Caenorhabditis elegans: one gene and its partner. The protein of the gene in region 1 purifies or fractionates together with the protein of each later gene. This does not show direct contact. Each region holds a gene or a part of one and is shown in the gene's direction. Other genes may lie near its edges.

Evidence for each region. The genes of interacting proteins can lie anywhere in the genome.
Region 2: the proteins of T23F4.2 (region 1) and mrps-14 fractionate together in Caenorhabditis elegans (co-fractionation; one large-scale study listed by BioGRID). This does not show direct contact.

The regions. Positions count from the first base shown.
Region 1 is NC_003280.10:1,160,450-1,167,556, forward strand, and holds T23F4.2 (uncharacterized protein), read left to right. Parts: upstream 1-3,140; 5' UTR 3,141-3,157; coding exon 3,158-3,275; intron 3,276-3,395; coding exon 3,396-3,526; intron 3,527-3,758; coding exon 3,759-3,888; intron 3,889-3,982; coding exon 3,983-4,103; intron 4,104-4,633; coding exon 4,634-4,775; 3' UTR 4,776-5,038; downstream 5,039-7,107.
Region 2 is NC_003280.10:10,239,805-10,245,618, reverse strand, and holds mrps-14 (Small ribosomal subunit protein uS14m), read left to right. Parts: upstream 1-3,128; coding exon 3,129-3,205; intron 3,206-3,696; coding exon 3,697-3,870; intron 3,871-3,988; coding exon 3,989-4,085; intron 4,086-4,953; coding exon 4,954-5,205; 3' UTR 5,206-5,314; downstream 5,315-5,814. Other genes in the region: nrde-2 (Nuclear exosome regulator NRDE2), read left to right, coding at 1-74, 157-663, 736-1,642, 1,703-2,280, 2,330-2,433, 2,696-2,810.

The DNA.
Region 1 (7,107 bases):
GAACTTTACCAGTTTTTGAGTGAAAAATCTGTTATGTAGCTTTTTTAGACTAGTTTTGGATACTTGTAAAATACTTTAAATTCAGCAAAAAAAACTTTAGATCCAAACTAAAACTTTAAAAATTTTTAAATTATTTTTCAACTTTTCGAAAATTTTCTAGCTGAAAAAAACAATAAAATTCAAATTTTCCAAAGTATTTCAAACAAACTCATAACTTTTCAATTTTTTTTCCATTTTCCACTAAAACTGACGAAAATGCTAACTGGGTCGCTAGTCAGCCAATTCAGCAAAAAATTGTGTCAAATGGCTGAAATTTTCTTTTCTTAGCGTAACTTACAGTGGAAAATTTCAAGAGTTCGTTTTTTGATCCTACTTTTCTACTATCGGACACTTTAAGCCGCTACTCATCTAATTCAAAAAAACATGCAATTTTCGAAAGTTAAAAATATTGACGTTATGCTTAAAATGACAAATTTTAAATAATATTTTCAAAATCATCGTCATTTTTCACCTAATACCCTAAGTTTAGAGATTTTTATCACTGAAATTGGTAAAACTCTGTAGTTGGGTCGCTACTCAGCCAATTTACCAAAAATTGAGCAATAGGGTTGGAAACTTAGTTTTAGACGTAATTTCGTGTGGAAAATTCAAAAATCTACAAGAAAATTCACAGAAACTTCAAATTTCCCACTTTCCAGCAAGTTTTTACCTCAAAAAATAAAAAATCTAGACTCCCAGATCTCAATAGTTCCAAATTCCAATCACATGACGCATGGTCACCTATTCTTTGATTCCATTGAGCACATCATTTGCTCATTGGCTCAGAGATCAAACTGTTTGTTTGTTATACAATTTTTTGGTGCAAAACCTATTCGGTGGTTGACAGGGGCGCGCGTAACAATAGCCGTTGAGTCACCCCCGCGCCTCCCCCCGGAGAGCCCTTTAAAAGTCCGAGAAAACGTCATTTTGGGGGGATTTTTGGTCTAAAATTGTGGTTTTTTGCGTGGAAACTTTTGAAAAATGTTGCTAAAGTGCTAAAATTTAGGTTTCTAGCTCAATTTTCGGTAAATTGTCTGAGTAGCAGTAAACCGTAGTGATACGGAGTTTTGTCAATTTTAACAGGAAATGGCTCATATTTTTTTTGTGAAAGACAGAAAAAATAATACTTGTAACATAGATGCGTCAAAAATCAAAAATTAAATTTTTAAAAAAGTTTTCAAAATGTTTGAAAAATTTTTTTTCAAAATTTTTCCAAAAATTGAAAATTTTCGAAATTTCAGTTTTAAGGAATCTCAAATTCACTTCAACTTTCAAAAAGCCTACAACTTAATCTGCCAGCCCAAAAAATTTCAGCTAATTTCCATTAAAAGTGAGAAAACTCCGTATTAGGTCAACTGAGTCGCTACTCAGCCAGTTTACCAAAAATTGAGCTAGAGGGCTGAAAATTAGGGAATAGGCTAAACTGAATACGTTGAAGTTGGAAAATTAACTGAAAATTTGATTAATATTTTGGTTTTTTGAATTTCGGAGAAAAAATTTCAAAAAAGTTTTGAAAAATTTTTTCACCAAAAAAAAATTTTAGAAGCAAATTTTTTCAAAAACCAGTTAAAAATCTGAATCAGTATCTTGTAAAACCTAGAGACAACATTTTTCAGCTCGTTATCTCCAAAACTGACTAAACTCCGTATCACTATGGTTAGCTGAGTCGCTGCTCAGCCAAATTGTTAAAACTTGTCTAAATTGAGGTAGAAGTCTCAAAATTTTTTCCTATGTCTAGTTTTAGCTGCAAAATTCAAATTTAATGCTTAAAATTGAACAAAATCAATTGAATTTTCAGAAAATGAGTAATTTATATCGATTTCGCAATACCTGAGTCGCTACTCTGCCAATTTACTAAATTTTGAGCTAGAAAGCTAAAATTTCATGGCTAGGTGTAGTTTTTCACGCTGAATTTGAATATTTAAATATTTTTTCTTTAAAAGTAGTCACAGCTACAGTATACCCATGACAACCCCCGTAAATTTGAAAACATCTAGAAATCGTCATTTTTGATGAAAATTCATGCAATTTTCAATGTAAAGCCCCACTTTTTTTTTGGTGAATAGCTTTCTCCTTGCCTGCCCCCCCCCCCCTATTCATTCCCCCCATACCGCCCATCTTTTCATGATGTTTGCCTTTAAATCGTCTTAAGACCATCACCACAACGTCATTCATGTCATCTCTCACCTCACACAAACTTTTTCGTTTTTTTTTTTGCCGCCGCTCCACCGTCATTTTCCATGTTTCTTACCAATTTTGGCGCGACACTAATCTTGAAATAATTGGGTCTTGAGTGGAAGCCACGCCCCGATTTTCCTGTTTTTCGGGTTTTTAAATACACAAAACAGATGACAAATACACTTTTTAGCCCATGTTTTTGTGGGGTTTTTCCCTGGAATTTTCTGGAAGTTACTGTAATTTTGCTCTCTGAAAACCTAACAACAACTATTTTTTTGTAATTTTCAAAACTTTTTTTTTTGAATTCACCGTACTTGGTTTAGTCTATTCCAAAATTTACACTGTTCTAGCTCAATTTTTTGGTAGATTGGCTGAGTAGCGGCTCAGTTAACCATTGTGATACTGAGTTTTGTCAGTTTTAATGCTAGAAAGCTGAAAATTTTTGTGTCTTGACTTTAAGTAGTCCTGATTAGAATTTTAACAAAAAATAAAAAAATTTTGGGAAAAAAATGTCAAAAAAAATTGAAATTTTTTTTAATTAAAAAAAAAATAATTAGAAAATACAAAAACCACTCTATTTTACTTATTTTAACTTAACTTGTTGAATTCTCTGTGCGTATTCTAGTCTATTCCAAAATTTATAGCTTCCTAGCGCTTATTTTGAAAATTGGCTGAGTAGCGACTCTGTTATCCATTGTGATACGGAGTTTTGACAGTTTTGATGGAAATTGGCTGAAAATTTATGTGACGAGGTTTTAAGTAGTGCTGATTTCAAATTTAACAGTTTAGATAAACGAAAAAAAGTTTTTTTTTCAAAAATTTCAGTAATTTTTTTTATTAAAAAAATTTTTTTCAACTTTTCTTGCTTTCTTTGTAACTTTTTTGAATCTTAAAATTGTCCAACATAAAATTGGTTTATTTCCAGCTCCCAACACACAAAATGATTGGAATGGTCAATGTTCAGTGTGATACTCCTCTCGACTACTACGCAACTGCTCCAAACCTGTTGAGCAGAGACACTTCTGTCAGAAAACGTGGGGATAGTGAATCAGCAAATGGTAAGTCAAGTTACTGTAGAACTAGAAAAAAAATTAGAAAAAATTAAAAAAAAAAAGCAAAAAATTTTTCAAAAAAAATTTCAAAAATTTTTCAAAAAAAAAAATTCTAAAAATTTTCAGCTTCCCGCCACAACTCTACCAAGCGTACTCCATCATGGCGTCCACTTTTCACTGGACAGGGTAAAAAGAAAAGTTCAAAGCCCAAATATCTACAGGATGGCCGGAAAATGACAGAAGATGGGCATGACGAGGTTGGTATTTTTTCTATTTTTACAACAAAAAAATTTGTAAAAATCTGAGCTTTTTCTGTTTAAACATGCTATTCTAGCCAAAAAAAAAAAATCAAAAATTTGAATTCCCGCTGACCCCACGCTGCAAGCACGCTCCAATGCTAAATTAGCAATGGAGCGCGTTTGGCCAGCCGGATTTCAGAATTTTTAAATTCAAATTGAAGTCTTTAGGCCAATTTCTGTAATTTTTCAGCCAAATAAGCTTTGGGAAGAGCTTTTCCTCCGTTCATTCGCCCACAAAATTGAGCAGGAAATCTCGTCGCCGAGCCCACTTGAAGCACACAAAAATCTGAATTCGGAACTCTCAAAACTCAATATTCAAGGTAAATTTTTGGTTTTTCTTAATTTTTCCGTTTAAAATGCTCCAAATTTCTAGATATATTGCAAAAAGTTCAGAAAAAATTCCAGAATTTTTAGAAATTTCAGACAAATCCTTCTACCGATCTACATATTCGTTGGTGTCGCCCACGCGGATAGAAAATACTGATTTTGAGGAGTTGGAGAGGATCGAGAATCAGGAGAAGACTCAGGATGACTCGTAAGTTTAGAAAAGTCGTTAAAAATTCAAATTCCCGCCGACGGCATGTTGCAAGCGCGCTCCAGTCATAAATTTAGCATTGGAGCGCATTTGCAACATGCGCTTTGCAAATCTCGCATTTTTGACACTTTTTTAGGTTTAGAACTATACAAACTTACTTAAAATGCAACTTTCAACTCAACAAATTCAAATTCCCGCCGACCGCTGGTTGCAAATGCGCGCCAATGAGAAATTTAGCATTGGGGCGCATTTGTAGCTTGCGGTTTGTAAAATTCGAATTTTCGATACATTTTTAGGTTTAGAACTATAAAAACTTACTTAAAATGCAACTTTCAACTCAACAAATTCAAATTCCCGCCGACCGCTGGTTGTAAGTGCGCGCCACTGAGAAACTTACTGGAAATTCCGTTTTTGACGGTTTTTCGAGGGGAAAAATGCTAAAAACTTTACATTTTTTGATTTTCTTGGCAAAAACCTCTGAAAAACTGCAAAATATCCTAGAAATTCAATTTTTAATTAATTTTTTCCAGAAAACCCAACCGCTCCAACTCATCAACAGAACGGCCCAGTTCTCAAATTTGCAGTGTTTTTCTTCCATTTATCAAGACAATTAAGGGAAACAAAAAGAAGAATTCGATTACTTCAGTGAATAATAATACCAAAAATTCATGATTTTTTGAAAATTTTAACTTTTTTTTTCCCGCATTTTTTTGCCTTTTTTCTCAACTTTTACTCTCAAAACCCCACTCTTTTGTCACATAATATCTATATCATTAATTTAATTTTAAATATTGCCCCAACACACACACAACTACAGTAATCCTCTCACTTTTTCGCCCACCACTCAATTGTTGAACACACAATATTATTTTATACAAACCACACACAAAAAAAAAGAAGAATCAATCAATAAATCGGCCACAAGTTCAGTTTTTCAATTTTTGAAATTTTTTACATTACGTATTGCATAGGCTATTTCTATATTAAAAATCAGTTTCAAAATTTGGCTGAGTAGCGACTTGGCCAAACTTTGAAGCTTTGTAACTTGTTCAGATAAAGAGCTAGTGCTTAGATTTCAAAGTTAAAAACCGTATAGTTTTTGTCAAATCGAAATATTCACAATCGGATACAATGCATAAAATAGTCTCGAGTCGCTACTCAGTTTTAATGGCTCCGTATCACACAGTATACGAGCGGACGTAAAATTTCATGTTCTACAATTTGTCTTTTGCAAGAAGTTTCTAGCATCAAAATGAACAAAGTTATGGTGTTTTTGAAAATTTAACTGAGTAGCGACTCAGTGTGCCACGGAGTCATTAAATAATCGACTGAGTAGCGACTCGCTATATTTCAAATGTGCATAACTTTGCTGATTTTGGTCCTAGGAAAACTTGCTCCAAAAGGCAAAATTGTTGTAGCCCATAAAATTTCACGTTGGCTGGAACAAAATTTGATACGGAGTCATTAATTTCGCTGAGTAGCGACTCATCAAATTCTAAAGCAGCATAACTCTTTTCAATAATGAGGTAGAAACATGTTCTAAAAAGCAAAATTGGAGCCAATAAAATTTTATTTTGACTTTTATTTTGGCACACAGTTTGATACGGAGTCATTAATTTCGCTGAGTAGCAACTTGTTTCAATAAAAGTAAAGCGTACTTTAAAATGCACAAACCTTGAAAAAAGCTTATGAAAATTTTTTTTTCAGAACAAAAAAATCTGAAAAGTTCAAATTTTCAGACTGTCCTCTGGCCTTGTGATATGCAAATCTAGTGGTGAAATGTCAAAACAACAGCCAATTTTTAGACTTTTATGGTAATTTTGCTGACCTTTATCAATTTTTCCGTCGAAATTTCCATTTGTTTACAGTGGCAATTTTTCGGTATAAAATGTGCCCCAATTTACCACATTTTATCGCAAAATTTTCCGTGTTAAAACATGCTCAAAATGATATTGTCAGCACTATTTCTAATCCCAGCAAGTCAGGGATTCATAGATTTTAACCCAATTTGTACAAAATTGGTAGAATATAAAGACTCACAGAATACTGTTCTGGAGGGATATTTGGCGTATCCTGTGTAAGTTTTTAGTGGGAATTTTTTTTTAATTTTTGAGGTTTTCCAGAATTACTGGGTTCTTCCGTAAGCGCCCTGCTGTCATCATCTTCCATGCTTTCACTGGACGTACCGAATTTGATAATCAGAAGGCTAGGGATTTGGCTAAGGTAGGTCAAAGTCTAGGAAAAAGGAAATTAGCTTTACTTTTGTCTTTTGGAGCAAGTTTCTAGGATCAAAAATTCACACAGCTATGACAATTTGAAGATGAGTCGCTACTCAGCAAAATTAATGGCTTGGCTCCGTATCACATTTAATACCATTTAATTAAAACGGTTATACTCTACAACTTTGCCTCTTGTAGCAAGTATCTAGGACTAAAGTGAACAAAGTTATGGCAGTTTGAAACTTGTTTGAGTCGCTACTCAGCTAAATTGATGGCTCCGTATCATATTGAGTAGCGACTGAACAAGTCGTCATGAAACTCAAATGGCCATGACTTTGCTCATTATTACTCTTTGAAACTTGGTGTAAGAGGCAAAGTTAGTCCACGTCGGTGGTATAAAGTGTGATACGGAGCTATTGGAACTGAGTAGCGACTCAAATTGCAAACTTGGTACTCTGGTTTGAAATTTACGCTCCAAGTTGTACCATGTTTCCAGGCCAATATAAAATCTAGCCAAGTCGCTACTCAGCTAATTACTCCAAAAGTTGCCATAACTTCCCCCATTTTGCTCCAAGAAATTTGGCTCCAAGAGAAAAAATGTAGAAAATACAATTGTTTAAAAAATTCCATAATTTTCAGCTCGGCTACGTAGCTTTTGCCGCAGATACCTATGGAAAAGGAAAAGCCGCTCCAGATGTGAATGGAAATTTTGCCATTATGGGAGGTGGGTTCTAATAATTTCCAGATTCTATCTAAACTAGACTAAAATTGAAATTTTCCAGAAC
Region 2 (5,814 bases), 9.1 Mb from region 1:
TATGGATTTATATTCGTTATTTGAAGTGGATGATTTCCTGTGCACACACGCCAGTGGTACTGGCAAACATACAGGTGAGATTTTAGGAAATACTAAGAAACCTTTGGTTTTGTGAGTATTAAATCACTTTTTTTTTCAAGATTTTACTTATTTCAGGCCACTTTTGAATACAATTTTGGACTCGCTGATGTTGAAAAGCGGACGAGCACTAATTCAAAAGAACGGGAAGTCAGATTGGAGGAATTCTGGGAATCTGGTCTTCCGCGAATCGGCGACGAAGGTGCTGTTGGTGCAGAGAAGATGCTTAAACAATCGGAAGAATTATCTGATGAAGATATTCAGAAATTGGAAAATGATGATTTTGATATTCTTATTTCACGCACCGAGGAAACAATAGCGACGTGTCTTCAAGCTCAACGGGACGTGCAGATTTCGTGGATCGAAGTTGAACGAGAAATGATGAACATCGATGCTCGCGTGAAACGGACGAAACTGAAAGATTGTGAACTTTATGAAGATCATGTGGACGACTTAGAGACATGTGAACTCTGGGACATCATTCCTTTTGATAGAATTCGATATTATGAAGCACCAGGCGATTGTGCTAATTTCGATTTTGTACAACCTTTTTTGGAGTTGCTCGGCGTCAAATTTTTAAATTCGGTAAGCAAATTTCAACTAATATTATGCTTGAAATTAATTTTGAGGAATTGTAAAAATACTTTTTTTTTCCAGACGAACTGCTTCACAACAACCGAACAAATCATTTCTGATTGGATTTCTAATGATTCTACTGTTAACTTCTACAAAACTCCGACTTATACCGAGAAAAAGTGCTTTGAAGTTGGAAATAATATTCTGAAGTTTATGCTTTACAATCGACTCAAACTGACCGAAAACAATCCTGAATACTTGGATAAGACTATGGTGAAGTACTTGCTGGCAATGCTCGTCACCGAAGCTTCGGAACAGGAGAAGAAATTGAATTTCCACAGTTTTAAACTGAATCTTAAAAACTTGGTTGGAACATTCATCACTAAACATCCAGACATTTTCAAGCGTGCCATGCTGAGTAAGATCACAGGAATTGTCTACATGGAAAAGTTTGTGTCTTGGTGGGAGCGTGCACTGAAAGAACAGGAAAAAGTAGTGGAAGCTGACGAGAGAAGGAAGAATTATAAAGAGATCAAGATGGAGGAAGGCGTCGTAGATGATGTTAAATTCGATGTCATATTGTTAAAGAAAGACAAAGAACGAGTGCAAACAATTCGTGATAAGATTAGGGATATGATTGATATAGCTATCCCCAAATCAACAGAAAAGCTCATTCAGAGCGCTGATTCTTCATTGCCAACGCTTCAATTACATCTTTATGCCAATGTTCTACGTGGAAGACTTTCTATTCTAAATCAAAATGCTTTAGAAGAGACTCGAGATGTTTTCTGTAAAGAGATTCTTGGAATTCACACTTCGGAATTTGAAAGTGATGAAGCTCTCTTATTGGCATTGGATCAAGGATTGAACGAATTGCTGGAGCATTGCAAGGAGAAGGACAATCTTGAATCGGTCGACAGTATACCAGAATTACCAAGAGCTGAGGCACTGTGCGAAGCTTTGAAAGTTGTGGCGGTATTTGTTTTCTGTGAGTTTTATAGTCTTTGAGTCTTTGTAAAAATTAATTGATTATTTTATTAAATTTCAGTGGACAAGATGGCATTCAGCAGGCGTGCAGTCGACTGCCTCATTGCCAACGCGATCACCAAATTCGAGCAATTTGAAGCCAAGAAAAATGATTTCAATCGTGGAACTTATGAAAAATACTGTGATCAGATCGATTTGAAATTCATCACGGACACTCTCATAACCTTCTTTTCGCACAAAAAACACCGTTTCATCTACAATGAAAACTTCAAAAAGTTGATCTTCCAAGCATCGCAAGCGTTCCCATGTGATTCGAAATATGCGAAGATGCTCGGCGAGCTGCATTCCAGCGGTCGTCTGCAAGTGATGAAGCTTCAAGGATTCACCGACAGCAGAAATAGTATTTTGAATGCGAAACGAGATCAGCAATTTGATCCAGAACTTGAAACTCGTCTTCTCATGAACTCGTTGACTATTATGTTCTCTTGGATGAATGCAGCCAACCGGATTGGAGACGCCGGAAATCAAATCCTCTATAAAAATTGGAAACGAGAAGCAGCTAATACACGTGATCCGGCTATCTGGAGACAAGTTATAAGAGTTGCCAGTAAATTGTCACAGAAGATTCTAAAGGACGATGTGAGTTTTCAGGAAAAAAGGTTGTATGTGAAATTTAAATTTCTTACAGGCTTACACTCGTGCAAGAGGTCAATGTACATGGGCTCTCAATTTGCACTTTGATTATATTGAAGCAAAAACTGTCCGCAAGAATGGAGATCTAATGGAGATGATGTAAGTTCAATTATTGAGAGCAAAGTTTCAGTTCAAAAATGTAATTTGTTGTGCCCGATTTTTGAAAATAATCAACTAAGATTGATTTTATTACAATGTTCAAATTATCGAAGTATAATTAATTTAAATCGTATTATTTTTTTTCGATTTCTAGTCTAGTCTATATACAACAATACAATACAAAGCGAATAAATTTTATTAAAACGCTATGCAATTATAATCAGCACACATGCCAATGCATTCTAAATAACACTATTTACAGCTACCTCATTCTCGAACAAAGCATGGGACAAGAGCATAGTTTATTTGTGACCGACGAGGAATACATGAAAACACAGCAGGAAATTGGACTACAGTATTCCGAATCCGGACGTTGATTCTCTCTTTTTTGTGTAACTCGGCCTATAACTTTTTTAAAAATCCATTCCATATAATTATCCACCGGTATTCATTTCATCCCAGGAATCTTTCTTTCTTTTGTTCTTTCTATCCGACAGATTATGTTTATTTTTGTATTATAATTCTTCTGTCTTTTCGCATTTTTTGTTTCGGTAAAAATTTTTTGTTTTCAACAATGAAAATATTCGTTTTAATGTCATATTTCTTTCATCATGAAAGAGGTTACACTTCCTCCAACCAGTTCCTTCCATGCATGAATAATTGTATTAAATATGTATTGCAATGTATGTGCACAGATGTTGAGGGCACTCCGCGGAGCAGCGGACCTACTATCGACGGCTCTTTACAAGAATGAAATGATGATGAGTAGAAGGTGAGTATAGATTTCTCTAATTATTATTTAAACTATGCGAAAATCCTGCTTTTGGCGAAAAATTTTGATGTTTTGCTTTTTTTACACTCGAGAATATTTTAAACTTTCAATTTATAAAATTTGTTTAAGCGAAAATTTTTCGTTGAAAAAAGTGAACCTGCCACAAAATGGAAACGTTTTTAAAAAATTAATTTTTAGAATTTCCCTTTTTTTTCCGAAAACTTACACTTGAAATTAGAAGTAAAATGCAATTATTATTAAAATATTCGAAAATTCTCAACAAAAAAAAACGTTTGAGGCCTGCGAAATTACTCGTATTTTTGACGAAAAGTTCAATTTTTGCTTTTTTATTCGAAAAAAAAACTAAATGGAAAACTTTTTTTTTGGTTTTCAAATTTCAAAATTTGTTATTCGAACTCAATCCTTTTCTCGCGCTGAGAAAACAGGAATTATCGTCTTATGGCTTAATTTAAATGTCCAACAATTTCCAGATATTTATCAACTCCAGCTCCTGAACCTGCAAAACCATCATCTGAAGAGACTACGGAATCCACGGAACCGGCAACATCTGTAGAAGATGCTGGAGAACCTATGAAAGAGAAACGAATCACTCAACCATATTCTAGCGAGGCGCTTACAAAATTGAAACTTGATCAGTATCCATTGTAGGTTTTTGGTTTTTTTTGTATATTTTTGAAATTATTGCCTGCCGCTTTTTTATTCTCAAAGTGAGAAAGAATTGCACATAAACTATACACTTGTATTGAATATACGTTTCTATAGATACGTGGAGAGAGAATGGTGGAAAACCGGAAAACGAATGACATTCTGGGCGAGTTGGCGTCAGTTGAGAGATGTCAAACGACGTGAGCAGATTCAGGTTGGTTTCTATTTTTTATACGAATATTGTCATATGTGCTAAAAATATTTTTGGTTTTTATTTCAAACCAAAAAGGAAAAAAATTGAAATTTGTAAAAGAACCAAAACAAAAAATACCAAAAAATACGAATATTGTCATATGTGCCAAAAAATTTGTTTTAAAGGATTAAAGGATTAAAGGACGATCCGTTCTTCAAGTGCTATGCACTGCGGATCTGGGATTCAGGTACACTGCCTGGTGGTGATCCCTCTGGGCTGTAATTTAAGCCACGTCCTAGCCGGGGACTGTGGCCGATAATCCAGTCGTGGATTGCTCCACTTCCCAATAGAGGCTGGGTGAACCTAGGGGGTGAGGCCGGACTTGAACTCGTGACCTCCAGACTGCTAGCGGCCACCACTACCGACAGAGCTAAAAAACATCAAAAACCATAAGAATATTTACAAAATATAAATTGTTTAAAATACAAAAAAAAAATCGCATTTTTCTTCGTGCCAGAATACCAAAAAACACCAGGGCTGTCACCAAAAAAAATTTTCCATAAACAAAAAAAAGTTTTTCGCTTCTTTTCACATGTCTGAAATTTTTTAAATATTTTTTTTATTCGAAAACCACCAAAAAATCGTTATTGAAAATCATTACTTTTTAAAAAAACAAAACCCCACAAAACAGAAAACCCAAAAAAAAAACCATTTTTTGTGACGAAAAAACCAAAAAATTCCCTTTTTTATTAAAAAAACCCCCACAAACCAAAAAAACCAGAAAAAACCCATTTTTGTAACAAAAAACCCCCGACACCCCCATTTTTGACAAAAAAGCCTTAAACAAGCCCAGGCCTGCTGCTTGCCCTTGATTAAAATTTAATTTCAGGAAGTCGGCGCGGATCGTATGCGTCTAAAAGCTATCAAATTCAACACAATTCTCCCGCAAGCGATTCGTGACGAAGCAGCCGAGAAAATGCAAAAAGCTCGAAAATACGATCATCCTCGTCTGATTCTCAATATGTGCCAGTTCACAGGACGACAACGTGGAAAGATAAAGCCATACAGATTGAGTAGACACTTGTTCCGTCGATTTGCAGATAGATCAGCTCTCAGTGGAGTCCAAAGAGCCATGTGGTAGTGTGAGATAGGAGTTGTAGTTTTAGATTTATTTGTTTTCTATTTTTGATTTCTTCTTCGTTTTGAACACTTCTTTTGTTATCGATGCTCTTAATGAATTATTTTTGTTTTATTGTGATATAGATTATGATATCTCTGTATTGGTTATTGATCAATTAAAATACTTTTTTTTCAGAAAAATTATTATTTTCAGATGTTTTTCTGTCCATCAGTGTGCGAGCGTGCTCCACAGCCCCAATACAATGGGTCTCGTTAGTTAATTGGCGGCAAAAGCCTAAAAATTCAAACGTTTTATTTTTCGGCAATCAAGGATGTCTTCGAAAAATGTCTGCTTCAGAGATTCACTGTTTTGCCTCCAATACCTAACGAGACCCAACTATTGGAGGCGGATCCTGCTCATTTCGCTGCTGAGCGCGCTTTCACATTGATCTCAAAAAACGAATTTTTCTGCGGTGTCGGCTTCAAAAAAAATTTCCAGAGAAATCGCTATTTTTTCGTTTTCCCATTGTTCACAAATTACATTAAAATTTCGGTCAATTTGCTTCCTTTTAGTGAAAAAGTATTTTTTTTCTCTTATCAACAGGCAAAGTTTGATTCAAAAAATTTAAAG